2 linked regions of the Arabidopsis thaliana genome follow. The protein of the gene in region 1 interacts with the protein of each later gene in a pairwise test. Each region holds a gene or a part of one and is shown on either strand. Other genes may lie near its edges. The genes, in order: AT5G11710 and AT3G11130.

Region 1 (9,456 bases):
ATGCGCGATCAAAACAAAATCCAAATAAAAAGTAGTTATTGTTACCCATTCCACTGGCACTAATCTCTCCAGAGGGTTCAAGGGTTACAGTTTTTGCCCGGTGGAAATGAACTACTGATCCTTTAATGAAACCTTCGACGAGAATATCCTCAACTCGGCATATCTAGAAAGAAAGAAATTATCAGAGTTTTCAAGTTAGAGCATACAATACAAGTTAAAGAATGGTTGAAATACCTGTAGAGTAAAGGACAGAGATGCATTCACATTGCAATCCTCTGGAGGATTCAGTAGTTCATAAGGGCAATCTTGTCGTTCACAATAGAGCTTTGGTGTACTGCAACGGATATGAGTTCAAATATTGTTAGCTTTTATATCCGAAGAATATTGCACACAAACTAACCATAAATATGACATTTTTCTTCAAACTCACACAGCATCTCTGGACGCATTCAGTAGAGGAGCACGCAAGATAGACCCAGGCCCAACCTTCAATTGCCAGGAAAAAAAATCATTAACTCCTACATGGCCAAATCAAGTACCTTTCTATATTTGTTATACAACAGCCAATATGGCCTTTAAAGGAGACCAATAGTCACATTATGCCTATATTCATTACATTTTCAGAGCTATAAACACAAACTATTTTTGATTCACAAAATATAAGATGTCAACTAATGCAGGATTGTCACCAAACTAACAAAAGGAAACCCCTTACATAAATCCGGTAAAACAGTGACAAAACAAGCCGTTGTGCTTCAATTGAATCCCCTGGTCCAGTTAGATTCAAGAAACCTTGTCCATGGACTCCAAGATTTGCATTTGACCGAATGACAGATGATCCCTATATTTGGATAGAGAGGTCACACACAAAAATTAGATGCGACGCTATGTCACAAATTACTTTTAAGGAGAAAAACTATGACATGAGTTTGTGAGTACCCTAAGAACGAATAAATTGCTAGCCTCAAGCATGGAAGTTGAAACAGTTGTATCTCCTCCTCCTCCATCTAAATGCAATTCTGAGTTCCACATCAAGAACATCTTGACAGTCATGCGTAATGCCCCGTAAACCTGATGCATACCAATAAACATAAACATGATGAACAAGTGATTAACATGAATACCAAAACAGTACATGGAGTGTGAAGAACGGCCAGGTAAGCCAAGAGTGAAGCAGATCTTAGCAACAGAAAGAAATATTCATATCTGACGTAGACAGACACAATGCTGTTGCATCCCCATTTTCTAAAAAGGTAGAGAATCAGGATAATACTCACCTTGATGGTAGAATCACTCATTAAGAGTTCTTCTGCCAACAACTCAAATACTGATGTACCATAATGAGCTAATCCGAAGCTCAAAACACCACCGCACAACAAACTAATTTGTCCTTGAACCTACATATTGAGTTCTGTTTGAGTACTCCAATTCATCAATTTTGCAAGATAATATGCTGAAAAACAAGAGTTCCACTAAATACCTTTTAAGAAAACATATATAGAGGCGACACAACAGACACTAGATATACAAAATAAAAGATAGTAATCTTTGTAAATACGATCACAAATAGTGCTAACATAAACACTGCAAGGAGAAAGATCAGTAAGCCTACAAAGCCCATGTACTGGATATTTATTTTCTAAATACCTGGACACGACTCCATAACAGAGGACAAGTTGCGCGTGCTTTATCCTGAATATAAACATTGGTCCAAAGTGGCTGGAATGGAAATTCTAAGAGAAGCGTATACGTGTCTGTTGTCTGATTGTAGTTGCTAACGAAAAGGCTTCGGGGAACAGCATCATATAGAGTTCCAGCAGCACCCGAGTTATCTGGACATCCGATACTGTATCCGCCTGTGTTTAGGAAGATAAGATCAGTTTACATGATTGTTAATGTTAGGCAAGCACGTATTGGTTATACTGGCTCAAAACAAAAACCGTGAATCAAATGAGCAAATGTAAACAAAATAACCAAGTAAAGAGAATCGAACCATGCACAAAAATCTTCGGGTCATCATGCCTACTAAAAATATCGACAGATACTCTTCCACCACCCCCACCACCATAACCACTCCCACCACATGCACTGATCTTTCCAATTCCAGTCCTGCACTTCAAATAACAGCAAAGCAGAGGATGCTAGCTAAAATCAATTTACCAAGAATCTAAGAAGACAAAAGGCTCACTACCAACCTTTTAAAATAAGCAAAGAAAATGAGTTGTTTCATGTGTATCATACAACAGCAGACAACACATTTTGGAGAGATATGAGCAAGATCTAAATTCTTTCGAAATATATATTGTCATAAATAAGATTCATGCTTAATCACATACTTCCAATTGAGAACAGAAACTCACATTTCTAGAATATTATTATGAAACGAAAGTGCAATTTTGTATCATTTCTAGAAACTCAACTTGTCCTAAGGTAAGATTATGATCTTAAGAAAATATCAGGACCAAGCAAGTACTGTAAATTTTGCATTCCCTGCTGACTATAAGTAATTTAAAATATATGCATTTAATCTAATTAACAGCTAGTGAAAGAGAGCATAGAAACGAAAGTTGATTACATCTTGTATGCCTTGATGTAGATGCTGCCACCAGATCCACCACCGCCTTTGGCTCCTCCATAGCCTCCGTTTGCCAAAAGGCTTCCGTTAACATCCAGAAGCTGCAGAATATCCATCTTCACTTTCCCACCTCCTCCTCCTCCATAATCAATCTCTCTACTAGTTGACCCTCCTTTACTACCATAGCTCCACGGCTTCTGCAGAGTCGACCAAGAGTATGCATCACCTCCCCACACATCTTCAGGTAGCTTCTTAGTGTCAGTCAAACAACAAGCGCCTCTACCACCATGTCCACCACCAGCACCATCAATCCCCTGCGGTGTCCCACTGGTCTGTGGCGGAGGGCTCCCAGCTAACCCCGTCGTGTTCACCGCCGACCCATTAGCAAAGCTAGCATTACCAGCTGTAAGCTCCAATGTCCCAGCGACAATTGTAGATTCCGCTCCCAAAGAGAAGTTTCCAGAAACATTGATAGCTATAGAACAACCAGGGATCGGGCAGTGAAACCTAACACCAGGCAGGATGATAAAATTCCCCTTCCCAGCTATATACACATCGTGCGTAAGGTTCAAATCGGCGACAATCTTACAAGTAGTATCCAAAAACCCAACGCCGCCGAGATCCTCGCTACAAGATACCGACGGTCCATGCGGTGGTGGCGGTGGCGGAGCAGGCGGAGAGTAGTCCTGATGGAAAAGTAACGACTCTGAATCTGAGTCCAAATCGGAATCAGAACCCGATTTCGGTTCCACAATGGTAAATCGATAGCTTGAACTAGGGTTTACGGCCAAAACCGCAAGAGCGACCAAGACGAAGACGCAGCAAAATTGAAATCGAGCCATCCACTAGTATCAAGAGTCATCACAGACGAAGTCTACTAAGGTTTTCGATTCAACCCCAATTCGGATCATTGAGAAGAATAAACTGGAAAAACCAACCTCAGAGACACAAATTCACAAACAAACCTTCTCTTCTAAATCTCCAACACACAACAACACTTATGCATACATCAACATACGCATGTATACGTATTTTAGTCGTCTCGTTGAAGAAGAAAAGCGCATAAACCTTCACCGAAAAATGGGGTCTTAGAGAGAGAAGTGGTGCTTTTCCTTTCTCGGAGGAGAGAGAAAGAGAGGGAAGGGAGCTTCCAAGAAGAAAAGAAAACACAGGTTGGAACGGAGAGTAGTTACGATCTGGTACGTGCAAGTTCACCGTAATCAGGTAAATCTTAACAAATCATACTACGCCACGTCATTCTTTAGATTGCTCTAAAAGGAAATACTACTGTGCATCGTGGTTCACATGGAACTGGATGTGGCAGCGGTATCCTAATTTATTTTGACATCGAATTAAATTAGGACACGTGTCTAACTACGTTTAATTACTCGCTTTGCTGTTGGATATTAAGGGGTTAATGACTTGGTTTTTAAAATTTTTAAAACGTCAGGAGTTACGTTCGGACATTGAAAGGTGTTAAGAATTGGGCTTTGATGGGCCCTGTTTGTGAAGGAGTTTGATATGGACGCGCCAAGATTTGAGCGTGAGTGTTTTTTGTTTGATATTGAGAAACAGAATGCGTGTGACCTGGACGAAGTAAAAACAAAAATTAAACAAATCTGGCTGGCCCAATAGAAAACTAGCAGCATTATCAACACCAACATTTTAATCCATCACACCAATCTTTCAATCACTTCGATTTTCACGTTCTAAATGCAAAATGGTATTTTTTTTCTAATGTCAATGTATGGTTCACCCAAAATGATAAGGTACTGTTGTGTATGCTAATTTCTAAACAACTTTATAGCTTCAAAGCATATGAAATCCAAAATTAGATTTTAGTGATTAGACTACATGTATTGGGGACACTCTATGTTCAAAGTAAGAGATTGTGCATGGTCAGCAAAAACTAATTTAAACTAGTGGGATACGTGATGTATAATCTGATATTACGTGGTTTATTGGTTGGTACCAGAGTTAAAAACAAATGCAATTTGACTCGTATATGACTCATCATGCTGACTTCTTCAATAAGACAATTGTAGTAGATATATTTAATATAGAAAAATGGGTATATAATGTTATAAACTTAATCTTATCTGACCAACAATATTCAACTGGATTATATTTTTTCCCCCAGAAAAGGATTTTATTGCATTAAACTTAAAACGTTTACAAAGTAAGGTATAGAAGAGAGTAATATGATCTTCACTAACAACATTCATTACTGGAAAAATTATATATATAATCCATTCGGAGCCATTTCGTTGAAGTGCTTTAAAGTATTCAACTAAATTATTTCGTGAAGTGGTTCGGATAAATTATATTTGGATAATATTTCGAAGAATTTACCTTAGGTCTTAAAACTCGTTGTGTTATTTACTGAAACGAAATGGATTCAATTTTTTTTTGTTGTATACATGTAGGTTATTGAACAACCCACCAATAGCCGTGACTATCGGAGACTGCGGATCAGGCTACGGTCAGGTCGAATTTACAGTCATTTGACGCCTTTAAAAACTAATTACGCGAGAAAATCGGTTCTAGCTGCTAACTTTTTATTTGTTGTTGCCTTTCATTGAAAAAAAAAAAACTCATAATACAAAGACGAGCCATCTCTGATTAGATCTACACTTCTCCTCGCACCAAAATTTTGCCAGTTTTCGTTCCTTTGTTCATAACATTTTCGCGGATTCCAAATGGATTTCATGAAGGTCTTCGATCAAACTGTTCGAGAGATGTGGGTTTTCCGTTTTCTCTATCGATCCAAATCCGTAGATCTTTGGTTTTATATATTTTTTCGATTGATCTCGATTCGTTTTCAATTACAGAAAAAGGGAGGTGAATCTGAAAGTTTTGAAGGTCCCTGAGATGGAGCAAAAGGTGAATTTATTTGATTCGTATCCATATGTGCAAATTGTATCCATGATTACTAGGCAAAATGATCGAAAACTTTCTATAGATTTAGCTATTGCACGAAAATAAAAATTGCTAGATCGAAAATCGACACTAATCCTGAATATTTGAGCTGGATTTGTTATGTTTCTGTGTTCGGATGCTGAGTTTCTTCACAGTTGCTATTTCCTAGAGATTAGATCCATCTTTGGGACTCACAAATATCGAGTTCATATTTCTATAGAAGATAAGCTTGAGCCGTCATGTAAACTTAAATTGGCGGCAATGTTTCATGGATTTTGAGTTTGATCATCTCTTCAAATTCAGTATTATGTGATACCCTTTCATAATTATATATGGCTATGTTTAGTACAGGTATTGGATGCTACAGATAATGAGCCTTGGGGTCCCCATGGTACTGCATTGGCAGAGATAGCTCAGGCCACGAAGAAATTGTAATCTCTGGCTTCATTTTCGTGATTCTACTTGGAAATATTTTTTTGATTTGCTATTGCTTAACATGTGCACTTGCCATATGTTTAGCTCGGAGTGCCAGATGGTTATGAGTGTTTTGTGGACTAGACTAAGTGAGACAGGAAAAGATTGGCGATATGTCTACAAGGTGAGTATCTTCTTGACGTTTTCCTACTGTATTTGGAAGTTTATAGTTTTGTTGTGTCCTGAGGTTTTTCTATTTCATTTCCTGCCAGGCATTGGCTGTTATTGATTATCTGATTTCGAATGGATCAGAACGAGCGGTTGATGAGATTATTGAGCATACTTACCAAATATCTGTCAGTTTATTTCTCTTTACATATTGATATGCAGTTCTCTCTAAGATTGTGTTTTTTTTACTGACTAGATCTTTGTCATCCATGTAGTCACTCACAAGTTTTGAGTATGTTGAACCAAATGGGAAAGATGTGGGAATCAACGTGAGAAAGAAGGCGGAAAACATAGTCGCTCTTTTAAATAATAAAGAGAAAATCTCAGAAATCAGAGACAAAGCAGTAGCAAATCGTAACAAGTTAGTTTTTACACAAGTGGAAATAATTGGTCTGACCGTTCTTCTTTCTACTTTGCCTTAAATCGTTTTTTTCTGCCTCCAATTAGGTATGTTGGCCTCTCATCAACGGGAATAACATATAAATCTGGTTCCTCAGCTTCATTTGGTGGTAGTTTTCAAAGTGGTTCAAGCAATTTTGACAGCTACAAGGATAGAGATTCCAGAGAAGACAAGAATGACTACGAGTCTTTTCAAAAGTCAAGACGTGGTGTTAAAACTGAGGAGCAAAGCTACACTTCTAAGAAGAGTTTTTCACGCTATGGCAGGTTTATGTCAACCCCATTCATTTTCTGATGTTCGTTACATATTTTGGGTAGACTATGGGAGTTTTCTTTTCCAAAAGAGGCTGCTTGTTTGCTTTTCTTTTCTTATTTCTGGTTTGGTTTATGACTCATTAGTCTCATTTTGTGTACCATTTTTCTGATGTCGAGTAAATTAATCGTGCAATCTTGCTCACTCGATTCCAATTCTGAATGTGCAGCACGGACCATGACAATCTATCCAGTGGTAAAAAGTCACCCGATTCTGCCAAACATAGGTCATATGTATCTGCAGCTCCTTCAAACAACGATGATGATTTTGATGATTTTGATCCACGGGGAACTTCCAGTAATAGTATGTTTCTCTCTACGACTGCTGAGTTTGCAGATTGTTTATCATTCATTCGGGAGAAAGTTGGTTTGATAAACATGTATTTATGATAGACATATGTGCATGTCTTACCTGTATGGTTTTTATTTTTGGCAGAGCCATCCACAGGCAGTGCCAACCAAGTGGACCTTTTTGGAGGAGATCTGATTGGTGACTTCTTGGATTCTGGGCCAACAGAAACATCTTCCACCAACAACAACGAGAACTTTCAAGAGGCGGACTTGTTTGCTGATGCAGCTTTTGTATCAGCCTCGGCTCAGGGAGCTGAATTTGGGTCACAGACACAGGTGGTGACTTCTTTCATCTAAGCTAGTATGCAGCTTTTAACAATGGAAAATTCCCTTATTAACTGTCCAGTTATGTGATGCAATTTCTCGCTAATTGACAAAAACGTTTGTCTGTTGAAGTCGTTCTTTACACCTCACAATTACTTGTGCTGTTGAATCGTTGACTGATGTGTTTCCGCATTTCTGTTTCTACAGAAACAAGTTGATCTTTTCTCTGCGTCTGAACCTTCTGTCACAGTTTCTTCAGCTCCTCCGACGGTTGATCTCTTTGCATCTTCTGAATCAGTTGTAAGCCCAGAAGCCAAGATATCAATACCTGAGTCTATGGCTACTCCCAACATTGTTGACCCATTTGCTGCAGTTCCTATGGATAATTTTGATGGATCAGATCCTTTTGGTGCCTTCACTTCCCACTCGGCTTCAGTTTCTACAGGTCCACAAGCTCCAAGTGTACATGGGAGTGCAACAAACACCACAAGCCCGCTGTCTTTCGCAGACTCGAAGCCACAACATTTGCAAAAGAAAGATCCTTTCCAGGTGAAATCAGGAATTTGGGCAGATTCGCTGAGCCGTGGACTGATTGATCTCAATATAACTGCTCGTAAGTCGTTACTTCCTCTTCTATCGAGAACTCTCTCATTTGATCTGCACTATAAGAAAAAAATGTTTTATTTTCTCATTAGATGCAGTCAAACCCAAAAGGTATAGTTGTTCGATTACATTCCAACTATTTTTCAAACAGTACATTCTACAAATCAAAATTCTTAGCTCACATAAAGTTCCAGTACCATGTAGCTTGTTTGCATGGTGTCACGACAAAGAAATTGTTGGGTTTTAGTTTCTAAGTTCGATTTTAGTCCTGATTATTATTTTCCCTGTAACCAGCCAAAAAAGCTTCTCTAGCTGATGTGGGTGTTGTGGGGGATCTGAGCAATGAAGATGGGAACAAAGCATCTGCTGCATCGTACTACTCAGGCTGGTCCATGGGTGCAGGATCCGGGCTTGGTAAAACTGGCCTATACAGTACACAGCAGCAGCAGCAACAACAACAACAACAACAAGCACCTGATATCTCAGACGATTTCTTCTCCAGCCTCAGTAACCAAAGGTACCAATCTGGTGGCTTTAAGCAGTGAAATTGTCTGTGATTTGGTGTTGAGATGAAAAGGCATATCAAGTTTGATTCTACATTCCATACTGGAAATGTAAGTTTTTTTAATGGGTTTGTTGTTCTTGCACTTCATTCATGGGACAATCTGGTCGGTGACTGATGTGCCATTGTTGTTGTGGCGTTTACTTTGGGTTTAAATGAGAGAGAGAAGAATTGTCTTTATGTTTTTTTTGATAAGAGAGTACTTTTATTATTGGTTTAAAGTTTCGATTTGTTCATAGAACAAAAGTATATGTATCTCTTCCCACTCAACAAATATTTTTTTTATCGCGTGTGATTCTTAATCCGAAAGAGACTCCAACTTTCTTCTCAGTTGTTTTATTCACATTCATATTGACCAAGTTCATTCTTAGTGATTATGTTAACACTAATCTTATCTTACACAATTTAGTTCTCCGGTCACGAATGATTAAAATATAGAATAGTCTTATCTACAAAGAAAATGAGTAGTTGTGACAAAAAAAAATAGTCCAACACCAAAATAAAAAATGTCATCTCTTCACTGGTTTCCCAATATCTTCATCGTTGTCGTCGTCTTCTTCTCCTTGAGAAGTTCACAAGTTGTACTAGAAGAAGAAGAATCCACAGTCGTTGGATACGGCTACGTCGTTAGATCAGTGGGCGTTGATTCTAACCGGCAAGTTTTGACGGCGAAGCTTGATCTGATAAAACCATCGTCCGTTTACGCACCAGATATTAAATCGCTTAATCTTCATGTCAGGTCATTATAATCTCCTCTCTCAAACCAATCTCCAAAAAAACTAAATTTAGCAAGTTTTTCAAACTAATTTAAAATGTGCGATTATATAGG
Region 2 (7,969 bases), on another chromosome or scaffold:
ATGATTTTATCATGTTTTTCTTGTCTGTTGGTTATATTTGTGTATTCCTTCATTTTGCGATTCTAAAATACTAATAAACACATATAAGAATATTTATCGGTTCAACCAAAAAACAAATTTCCGTAATTAATCATTCCTCTATGTTGTTAGATAACAATTTTCTTAACAAAATTGCTAAAATCTGTAATGGCAAACCCACATATAAATAATATTTGCCGCCTCTAGTTTAAACAAGCATGTAAAAACGTGTTATCGGAAAAAATAACATAATAATTGTAAAATAAATATGCAAAACTTATGTCATTGAAAGAAAAAAAACATGATAAATGTACTTGGTGAATGGTGATATTGTTTTTAATTTTTACAAATAAGATGGTAGAAAATTAGGTTATACATAATCCCGCACGTGTGAGTAAAGCCTTATATATTCCATGCGTACACGCAAGTTATACATATGTTTTCACATATACGCTCTGCCTCTTCCAAAGTCACATCCATCTTTCAATGGCTTTCTCTTCAGCTCACCTCAACCACCACCAACCTTTGATCAAGCACGGTGGAGCCACGGCGGCGCCTCCTCCGACCCCGTCATGCTCACATCTCAACACCACCAGCAAATCGGAGACAGCAGTTGACGCTCTCTCCAGTCTTTTCCACCGTCTCCCTCCTTTGCTTTCACTCCCCAACCGTCGCTCCATCCCTTCTCTTCCGATGGTATCTCTCTCCGCCGGAGATAGACTTGAATGGGACGATCTTATCTCCGCCGTGACTGATTTCGGCTATTTCCAACTCATTAACGATGACTCCGATATTCTTTTCCCTCCTGGGATCGCTGAAGCAGCCGAGTCTGACTCACTCTCGCTCTTAGAGCTCAGTGAAGAGAAGAAGGAATCATCGTTTCCGAAGAAATGGCCGCTAGGCTACGAAGCCGATGCTGAAACGCCATCGTTTTGCCTTGACGCCGACTGTTCAACCGACTCGAGCGAGTTAAATCTGAGTTCGCTCCGTGAGTTCACTCGGACTCTAGAGAAAGTTGGACTGAAGACGGTAGAGATGCTGGCGAATGCACTTGGGTTTGGATATGATTCAACCCGGTTTAATACTCTGATGTGGGTTAACCAAGGTGTTCCTGATGATGAACCGGAGGTAACCAACGGATTTTATCCTTTTGTTGTTTGTTTACAGTATCAGATAAGGGAACAGAAGTATTGTTTGCTAACCGAGTCTGGTTGGGTGTCCGTTTTACCCCGAGTTGACTCGGTTCTTGTGACGTTGGGTGACATTGCTCAGGTTAGTTCTCTTTTGCTTTTGACAATTGACAGAACACATATATCTCTTTTATTTATCTATAATTAATTGGTTAGTTGTCTTCCTTAAATAATTATCAAATTATCATCCTTTGTAATGGAACTTTATTCCACTATACCGTTAACTGGCTGTTTTAATGTATTTTAAACATTATCCAAAATAAATGTTTTCCAACGCATCGTTCAAAAAGAGAACAAGAATTTGGATATTTCCGATATTTATTGTTGACAACAACAACAATTGTGGAGCATAACCGGGGAATGTGTTTTCACTTTTCGTTTGAAACAGATTTATGGCATTGGGAAAGAAATAAGAATTTGGAAATTTCCGATATTTAAATACTTATACACATCACATCGCAATTGTACTTAGTGTCCTATAGAATTCAACAATTCTTTTTTTTTTAGGTCAAAACCTAACAGCTTTCTACAATATAGTTTTCAACTTTTGAACAGCTAACAAACAACTTAAAATTGGCAGGTTTGGAGAAATGGAGAGGTCAAAAGAGTGAAATATCGACCAGTGTTGTGTTCAGGACAAAAAGATGGTCCAGTAAAGTGTGTAACAATGACATTGATGCTTACACTTCCCATGGACAGTATGGTTTCATCATTGAAGGATATGATCAGTGACGGCGACAAAGAAGAAGAGTATGCAGAGGAGGAGGAAGAAGATGGAGGAGCAAGAAGTGATGAGAGAAGGGCATTTAGGCCTTTTAGTTTCAAGGAGTACGCATGGAGAGTGTACCAAGAACGTCTCTTCTTCAGGGATCCACTTGACAGATACAGAATCAAATCTTTAAAAGATTGACGAACCGATGTTTGATTTGTTTGTTTCTTTCTTGGGTTGAATTGGTACTATAGTTCTTGTTGTTACTTTTTTTCCCCCATAAAATCTTTTGATTTTCAGCGGATTGTTAGCATTTTAGCATTGAGATATTTTTGTTTTTGTTCGATTCAGTTCAGAGAATGTTCTATTTTGATAGTCACTCCATCATTCAACTAATTTTTTCATATATACTCATATCAAAACTGTCACTATTTCAAAATCAAACTTTTAGGTTACACCAATGACTCTATCACACTAAACTCAACTCCTAGATTTTATATAGAAGAATCTATGACTTTGATGATGTACTTTAAAACTGAGTCTTTTGAGATCATAACCAAATTCTACTTCATAACTTTTGTTTTCCAATGTTGATTATTTGTTATAATTAGAAGGTGACACAAACGCTTATAGCATCCTGTTTTTGAAAATGAGGAAATACAGTGTTGGCTTTTAATCTCTCATTGAGGCAGAATATCAATGAATGACTTCAAATCTACGTATACATGTTTACTTATTTAGTGATCCATATTGGTGTTGCTCTTTAATTTTCTTGTGAGAATGAATTATATACATCAAAATTGATTATATCATTTAATTCGAGTTAAAATTATAAGTAATACAATCTTCACTAAACACTAATTAAATCGACGTAAATTTCTTATACGATTTTTTCATGCAACACTTAAATCGACATAAATTTAAATATTTTGGTCTTCATACCCTAATTTTGATAAGATATAATAGAAAATTTCGTATATCTTTTTTTTTTTTTGGTAAAAAGTTTTTTTTTTTTTGTTTCATCTCCATATTTAGAAAATTTATTTCAAACTTCGTTCTCGTTTGTGTTCATCTTAATTTTTAACCATGATTGAGTCATTGACCATTGCTCAAAACATACGCATAAAATTCCCAAAAAGTAGTGTGTGTCGTGACAAAACCCGACCCGTCGATTTACGCGGTTTGAAACTCGACCCGAATACTATCCGAACCCGTAACTTTGGCAAAAGCACATCGTACAGCTCAGGCACTTGTAGCACGTCGTCTCTCCTTTGGTTTCTCTCCTTATATTCGACGAGTGACTCCGATTGGATCGCTATTTCGTCATTTCTCACTTTCCAAAAAGAAAAAAACGAATCTCTCTCCACCATCATCACCTTTCTCCTTCACTTGCCTCAGATCTGGCTGCGATTTCAAATCTTCCTTAGTTTCTCTCGCATCGCTCGGCCGTTGACGGTCCCGTCCTTTCCGTGGATCTGATTCTGGCCCCGGATTCTCTCGCCGCGATCTGAGGTCAAACATGGCGGCTGCTAACGCGCCCATCATTATGAAGGAGGTCCTAACGGTGAGTTCTCTGTTTTTAAATCTCCGGGAATCGAGCTAAAATTTTGGACGATTAACATGTTTCTATAGTTGTAGTCTCTGATTTCTATCGATTTGGTTCTGCTCACACTGTTATATGATTGATTCAAGTTTCATTCTGTTCTCAATTCTACCCGATCGTTGAGATCAAGTTCTCTGATCAGATTTTCTCTGCGGACGCTCAGATCTGTGTTATCTGAATGTATATAGTCCTTAGTTTTAAGTTATTGTGTTGCGCAATGTGCTTATCTACTCGGATCTTGTAACTAAGTTAATGAACTATGCCAATTGATTACTTTTGTTTTGGAAATTTTCCAGCTTCCGAGCGTTGGGATCGGTCAACAGTTCATCACCTTTACAAATGTTACTATGGAGTCTGATAAGTACATATGTGTACGAGAGACGGCACCGCAGAACAGTGTTGTAATTATCGATATGAATATGCCGATGCAGCCTTTAAGGAGGCCTATAACTGCTGATTCTGCTCTTATGAACCCAAACTCGAGGATCCTTGCCTTAAAAGGTATTACACTGTTTCCTTCGATCGCATTATCACTTATAACACCCATAAGATTCTCCTTTTGAAGTGTATGATCAGTTATAAGACCCATAAGTGGTTCCTATTAAAGTTTTCTCCAGAACTACCATTGATAGCTTCTCCTTCATTTTGTTAACTGTACATATGCTATTTATTACGGATAGGATGTTTTGATTTATTTGAAGTTTAAATGACTCTGTCCATGTTGTGATGCGTCACTTGATAGAAAACCTATTTTTATTAAAGTAGTATGGAAGTGTAACTACACTCTTCGAGTTTATGTTGTAGTCCTATACTCTTTTTCTGGATTTGGGGTGATAGCATGTTTAATGCTGTAGAAAACATCAGTATAGCGCTCTCTGTTTTCCAACACGTGTTATATTTCTCGTGGCAGTGTTGTGTCTCAAGCTTAGTGTAGTTAAACTAGAAATTTTGGTTTGTACTGGATGTTTCCTTGTATAAGCTATTACTTATTTCTTCCTTAATTTGTTGTTAACTTTTTCTTAAATTCGTATCGTATATAGCTCAAGTTCCAGGAACTACTCAGGATCATCTACAGATATTTAACATTGAAGCAAAGGCAAAGTTGAAGTCACATCAGATGCCTGAGCAGGTGAATTTTGAAGCAAACAAATTGTAACCCGATTATCTTTCATGTTGTACTCTTCAGACAGACTCTGATTTTACTGGTCTGAATTTTTTGGATATTATAGGTTGCTTTTTGGAAGTGGATCACACCTAAGATGCTGGGACTGGTCACACAAACTTCTGTGTATCATTGGTCAATTGAAGGTTTTATATCTTTAACTTACTGTCAGCTTCTTCATATCATGTATATGTTGTTTCTCATTTTTGCTTCGATATTTCCAGGTGATTCTGAGCCAGTTAAGATGTTTGATAGAACGGCTAATTTGGCAAACAATCAAATTATAAACTATAAGTGCTCTCCTAATGAGAAGTGGTTGGTCTTGATTGGAATTGCCCCTGGCTCTCCTGAGGTAGGGTTCCTGCACCACGTATTAGGTTGAATTAAGACATCATAACGGCAGTCATGTTGTATATTTTTGACGGAATCTTGTCATTATTATCCTCTGTAGAGACCACAATTGGTGAAAGGAAATATGCAGCTTTTCTCTGTGGATCAACAGCGGAGCCAGGCCCTTGAAGCACATGCTGCATCTTTTGCTCAGTTTAAGGTAAACTATGTGATACCTTTGCTACTTCATTCCATGGTCGGATCTTGAACTGTAGTATGACAAGCGACATTATTATTGATAGGTCCCTGGGAATGAGAATCCTTCGATTCTTATATCATTTGCAAGCAAGAGCTTTAATGCTGGGCAGATAACATCAAAGCTGCATGTTATTGAACTTGGTGCCCAACCAGGTTAGCTTAAACTACTGCTCTATATTTTCATGGTTATTGTTAGTTGGTATTAGTCTGATGTTTAAAGGTGGGCGGCTTTTTTTCAGGGAAACCATCATTTACAAAAAAGCAGGCAGATCTCTTTTTCCCCCCAGATTTTGCTGATGATTTTCCTGTGGCCATGCAGGTTTGTAGTTGCATTAGCTGTTCAATTAACTTCAGTAAGTTTCTTGTGAAAAATTCATGACACCGACTTCTCTTTCTCCCAACAGGTCTCTCACAAGTTTAACTTGATTTATGTCATCACCAAGCTTGGCCTGCTGTTTGTATATGATCTAGAGACAGCTTCTGCTATCTACAGAAATCGGATAAGTCCGGACCCAATTTTCTTAACGTCTGAAGCTTCCTCAGTTGGGGGTTTCTATGCCATTAATAGGCGAGGACAAGTTCTTTTGGCAACAGTAAATGAGGCCACCATAATACCTTTTATTAGTGGTCAAGTATGTTCAACTTTTACTTTGTTCTTCTCTATATAATCTATCTATTCATCATGACATGCTAAGAAATCTATGCCTTTATATTACAGTTGAACAATTTGGAACTTGCTGTCAATCTTGCTAAAAGAGGAAACCTCCCTGGTGCAGAAAATCTGGTATGTGATAATTATCTTGGATCAGATGTGTGGATCTATTTTCTTGGTGAAGTCATTATTGTGCCAATTTGACGAAAAAGGTCATTCTGATAGAAACAATAATGTAGAAAATTAGAAATCGAGATTTGACGCTTCCTCCGTTTCAATATACAAGTGCATTTTTGACATTTTCAAGCAAATGAAAGAATAATTAAATGTTACATGATATCCTAGAAGACAATTGTCTCTTGGATTTAAATTCTATTTCACATTGTTAATTAATATTTAAATAGGGGTAAATAGATAAATGTATTACAAAATTTACATTGAATCGTAAGATGACACTTTGAAACGGAGGGTGTACATGTTAATGTTAAAATTCTACAAAAAACTAAGTGAATTTGATGATAAACCTCTTCCAAACTCCCAAGACATCTTATACCGATAGAGACTAAAGATCCATAACCTATTTAAACCATGGTTACTTGAAAGTAAACACAGTTAAACCCTACTAACCTAAAAACACTTAGTAAATATCATAAACTCCTTAGACCTCTAAACCCATTGCTCGAATTACATTTCTTAATGCAAAGTTCCTCATATTCAATTTTGATGTTACAGGTTGTCCAGCGGTTCCAAGAGTTATTTGCTCAAACAAAGTACAAGGAGGCTGCTGAGCTTGCTGCTGAATCTCCTCAGGGCATTCTACGGACACCTGATACGGTGGCCAAATTCCAGGTATATGTTCCATATTCAAGCAAAGAATCCTCTGTGAACATGTTGTCTATAATGTATGTTTGTAACACCAGTCTGAAACTACAACATCACACTTTACAATTTTGCAGAGTGTTCCTGTACAAGCAGGGCAAACTCCTCCATTGTTACAGTATTTTGGGACCCTTTTGACTAGAGGGAAGCTCAATTCATATGAGTCTTTGGAACTATCTCGGCTTGTTGTGAATCAAAACAAAAAGAACCTCTTGGAAAACTGGTTGGCAGAGGATAAGTTAGAATGCAGTGAAGAACTCGGAGACCTTGTCAAAGTAATCTTAAAATGACCATTTTCATTTAAAGTGTCTCCTATGGGCTTCTTTAGTATGCTGTAACGGTAATATTTTCTGATTCAGACTGTGGATAATGACCTTGCTCTAAAAATATACATCAAAGCTAGAGCTACTCCAAAAGTCGTTGCAGCTTTTGCAGAGCGAAGGGAGTTTGACAAAATATTGATTTATTCAAAGCAGGTAAACAATTAAGTTTTAAAGTTTGCCCCCTCCGTTGTTATGTTTACCCTAAAGGTCATTGTGCTCAAGAGGTACCATTGTTTTATGTTGTGACTCTAGGTTGGGTACACACCTGATTACATGTTTCTTCTGCAAACGATACTCCGTACGGATCCTCAGGTTAGTTTGCTGCACTTTTGATACTTTGCAACATATTAAACTGTGGAAGGACTGGTTTACTAGATTCTTGTTCCGTAATCACAAGAAGAGTCATAAATTTTGGCCTGCTGTTGTTTATCAAGCAACTAAGCTTTTGCCCTGTAAAAGATCAATAGTCTTTTTTTTCTGCTAATTATCTTCTTTTTTTTCCTGCTAATTGCAGGGAGCAGTAAATTTTGCTTTAATGATGTCCCAAATGGAAGGAGGTTGTCCAGTTGACTACAACACTATCACTGATCTTTTCCTTCAGGTGAACACGTAGAATATACTGTGTACATAAAATTGTATCTCATTACTTGTTTCACAAGAGAGCTATCATGTGCTAATGTACTTACTTTTGCATATTCAGAGAAATCTGATCCGTGAAGCGACTGCTTTCCTTCTGGATGTTCTGAAGCCAAATTTACCCGAGCATGCTTTTCTGCAAACTAAGGTTGAAAAGAGTTGCCACCTTTTACTTCTCTGTGCTTTCCCTACTCACCTTCCTTTCTTAG

The links.
Region 2: the proteins of AT5G11710 (region 1) and AT3G11130 interact in binary tests that used the Arabidopsis thaliana proteins (3 or more experiments, as listed by UniProt).

The regions. Positions count from the first base shown.
Region 1 is NC_003076.8:3,767,707-3,777,162, forward strand, and holds AT5G11710 (ENTH/VHS family protein), read left to right. Parts: upstream 1-4,694; 5' UTR 4,695-4,759; intron 4,760-4,863; exon of another isoform or gene 4,864-4,885; intron 4,886-4,911; exon of another isoform or gene 4,912-5,001; 5' UTR 5,002-5,274; coding exon 5,275-5,315; intron 5,316-5,406; coding exon 5,407-5,458; intron 5,459-5,845; coding exon 5,846-5,925; intron 5,926-6,013; coding exon 6,014-6,092; intron 6,093-6,180; coding exon 6,181-6,264; intron 6,265-6,351; coding exon 6,352-6,497; intron 6,498-6,583; coding exon 6,584-6,802; intron 6,803-7,017; coding exon 7,018-7,151; intron 7,152-7,283; coding exon 7,284-7,474; intron 7,475-7,669; coding exon 7,670-8,075; intron 8,076-8,359; coding exon 8,360-8,610; 3' UTR 8,611-8,956; downstream 8,957-9,456. Other genes in the region: AT5G11700 (ephrin type-B receptor), read right to left, coding at 46-163, 235-334, 431-486, 716-841, 940-1,071, 1,278-1,397, 1,648-1,856, 1,994-2,109 and 1 more; AT5G11720 (Glycosyl hydrolases family 31 protein), read left to right, coding at 9,134-9,366. UniProt on the Arabidopsis thaliana protein: May have a role in transport via clathrin-coated vesicles from the trans-Golgi network to endosomes. Stimulates clathrin assembly. Does not seem to bind to phospholipids.
Region 2 is NC_003074.8:3,487,135-3,495,103, reverse strand, and holds the start of AT3G11130 (Clathrin, heavy chain), read left to right. Parts: upstream 1-3,038; 5' UTR 3,039-3,436; coding exon 3,437-3,481; intron 3,482-3,816; coding exon 3,817-4,021; intron 4,022-4,560; coding exon 4,561-4,649; intron 4,650-4,749; coding exon 4,750-4,828; intron 4,829-4,906; coding exon 4,907-5,034; intron 5,035-5,133; coding exon 5,134-5,232; intron 5,233-5,314; coding exon 5,315-5,423; intron 5,424-5,509; coding exon 5,510-5,589; intron 5,590-5,674; coding exon 5,675-5,902; intron 5,903-5,988; coding exon 5,989-6,054; intron 6,055-6,654; coding exon 6,655-6,771; intron 6,772-6,878; coding exon 6,879-7,076; intron 7,077-7,160; coding exon 7,161-7,277; intron 7,278-7,376; coding exon 7,377-7,436; intron 7,437-7,638; coding exon 7,639-7,725; intron 7,726-7,824; coding exon 7,825-7,908; intron 7,909-7,969. Other genes in the region: AT3G11150 (2-oxoglutarate (2OG) and Fe(II)-dependent oxygenase superfamily protein), read left to right, coding at 505-1,290, 1,789-2,118. UniProt on the Arabidopsis thaliana protein: Clathrin is the major protein of the polyhedral coat of coated pits and vesicles. Mediates endocytosis and is required for a correct polar distribution of PIN auxin transporters.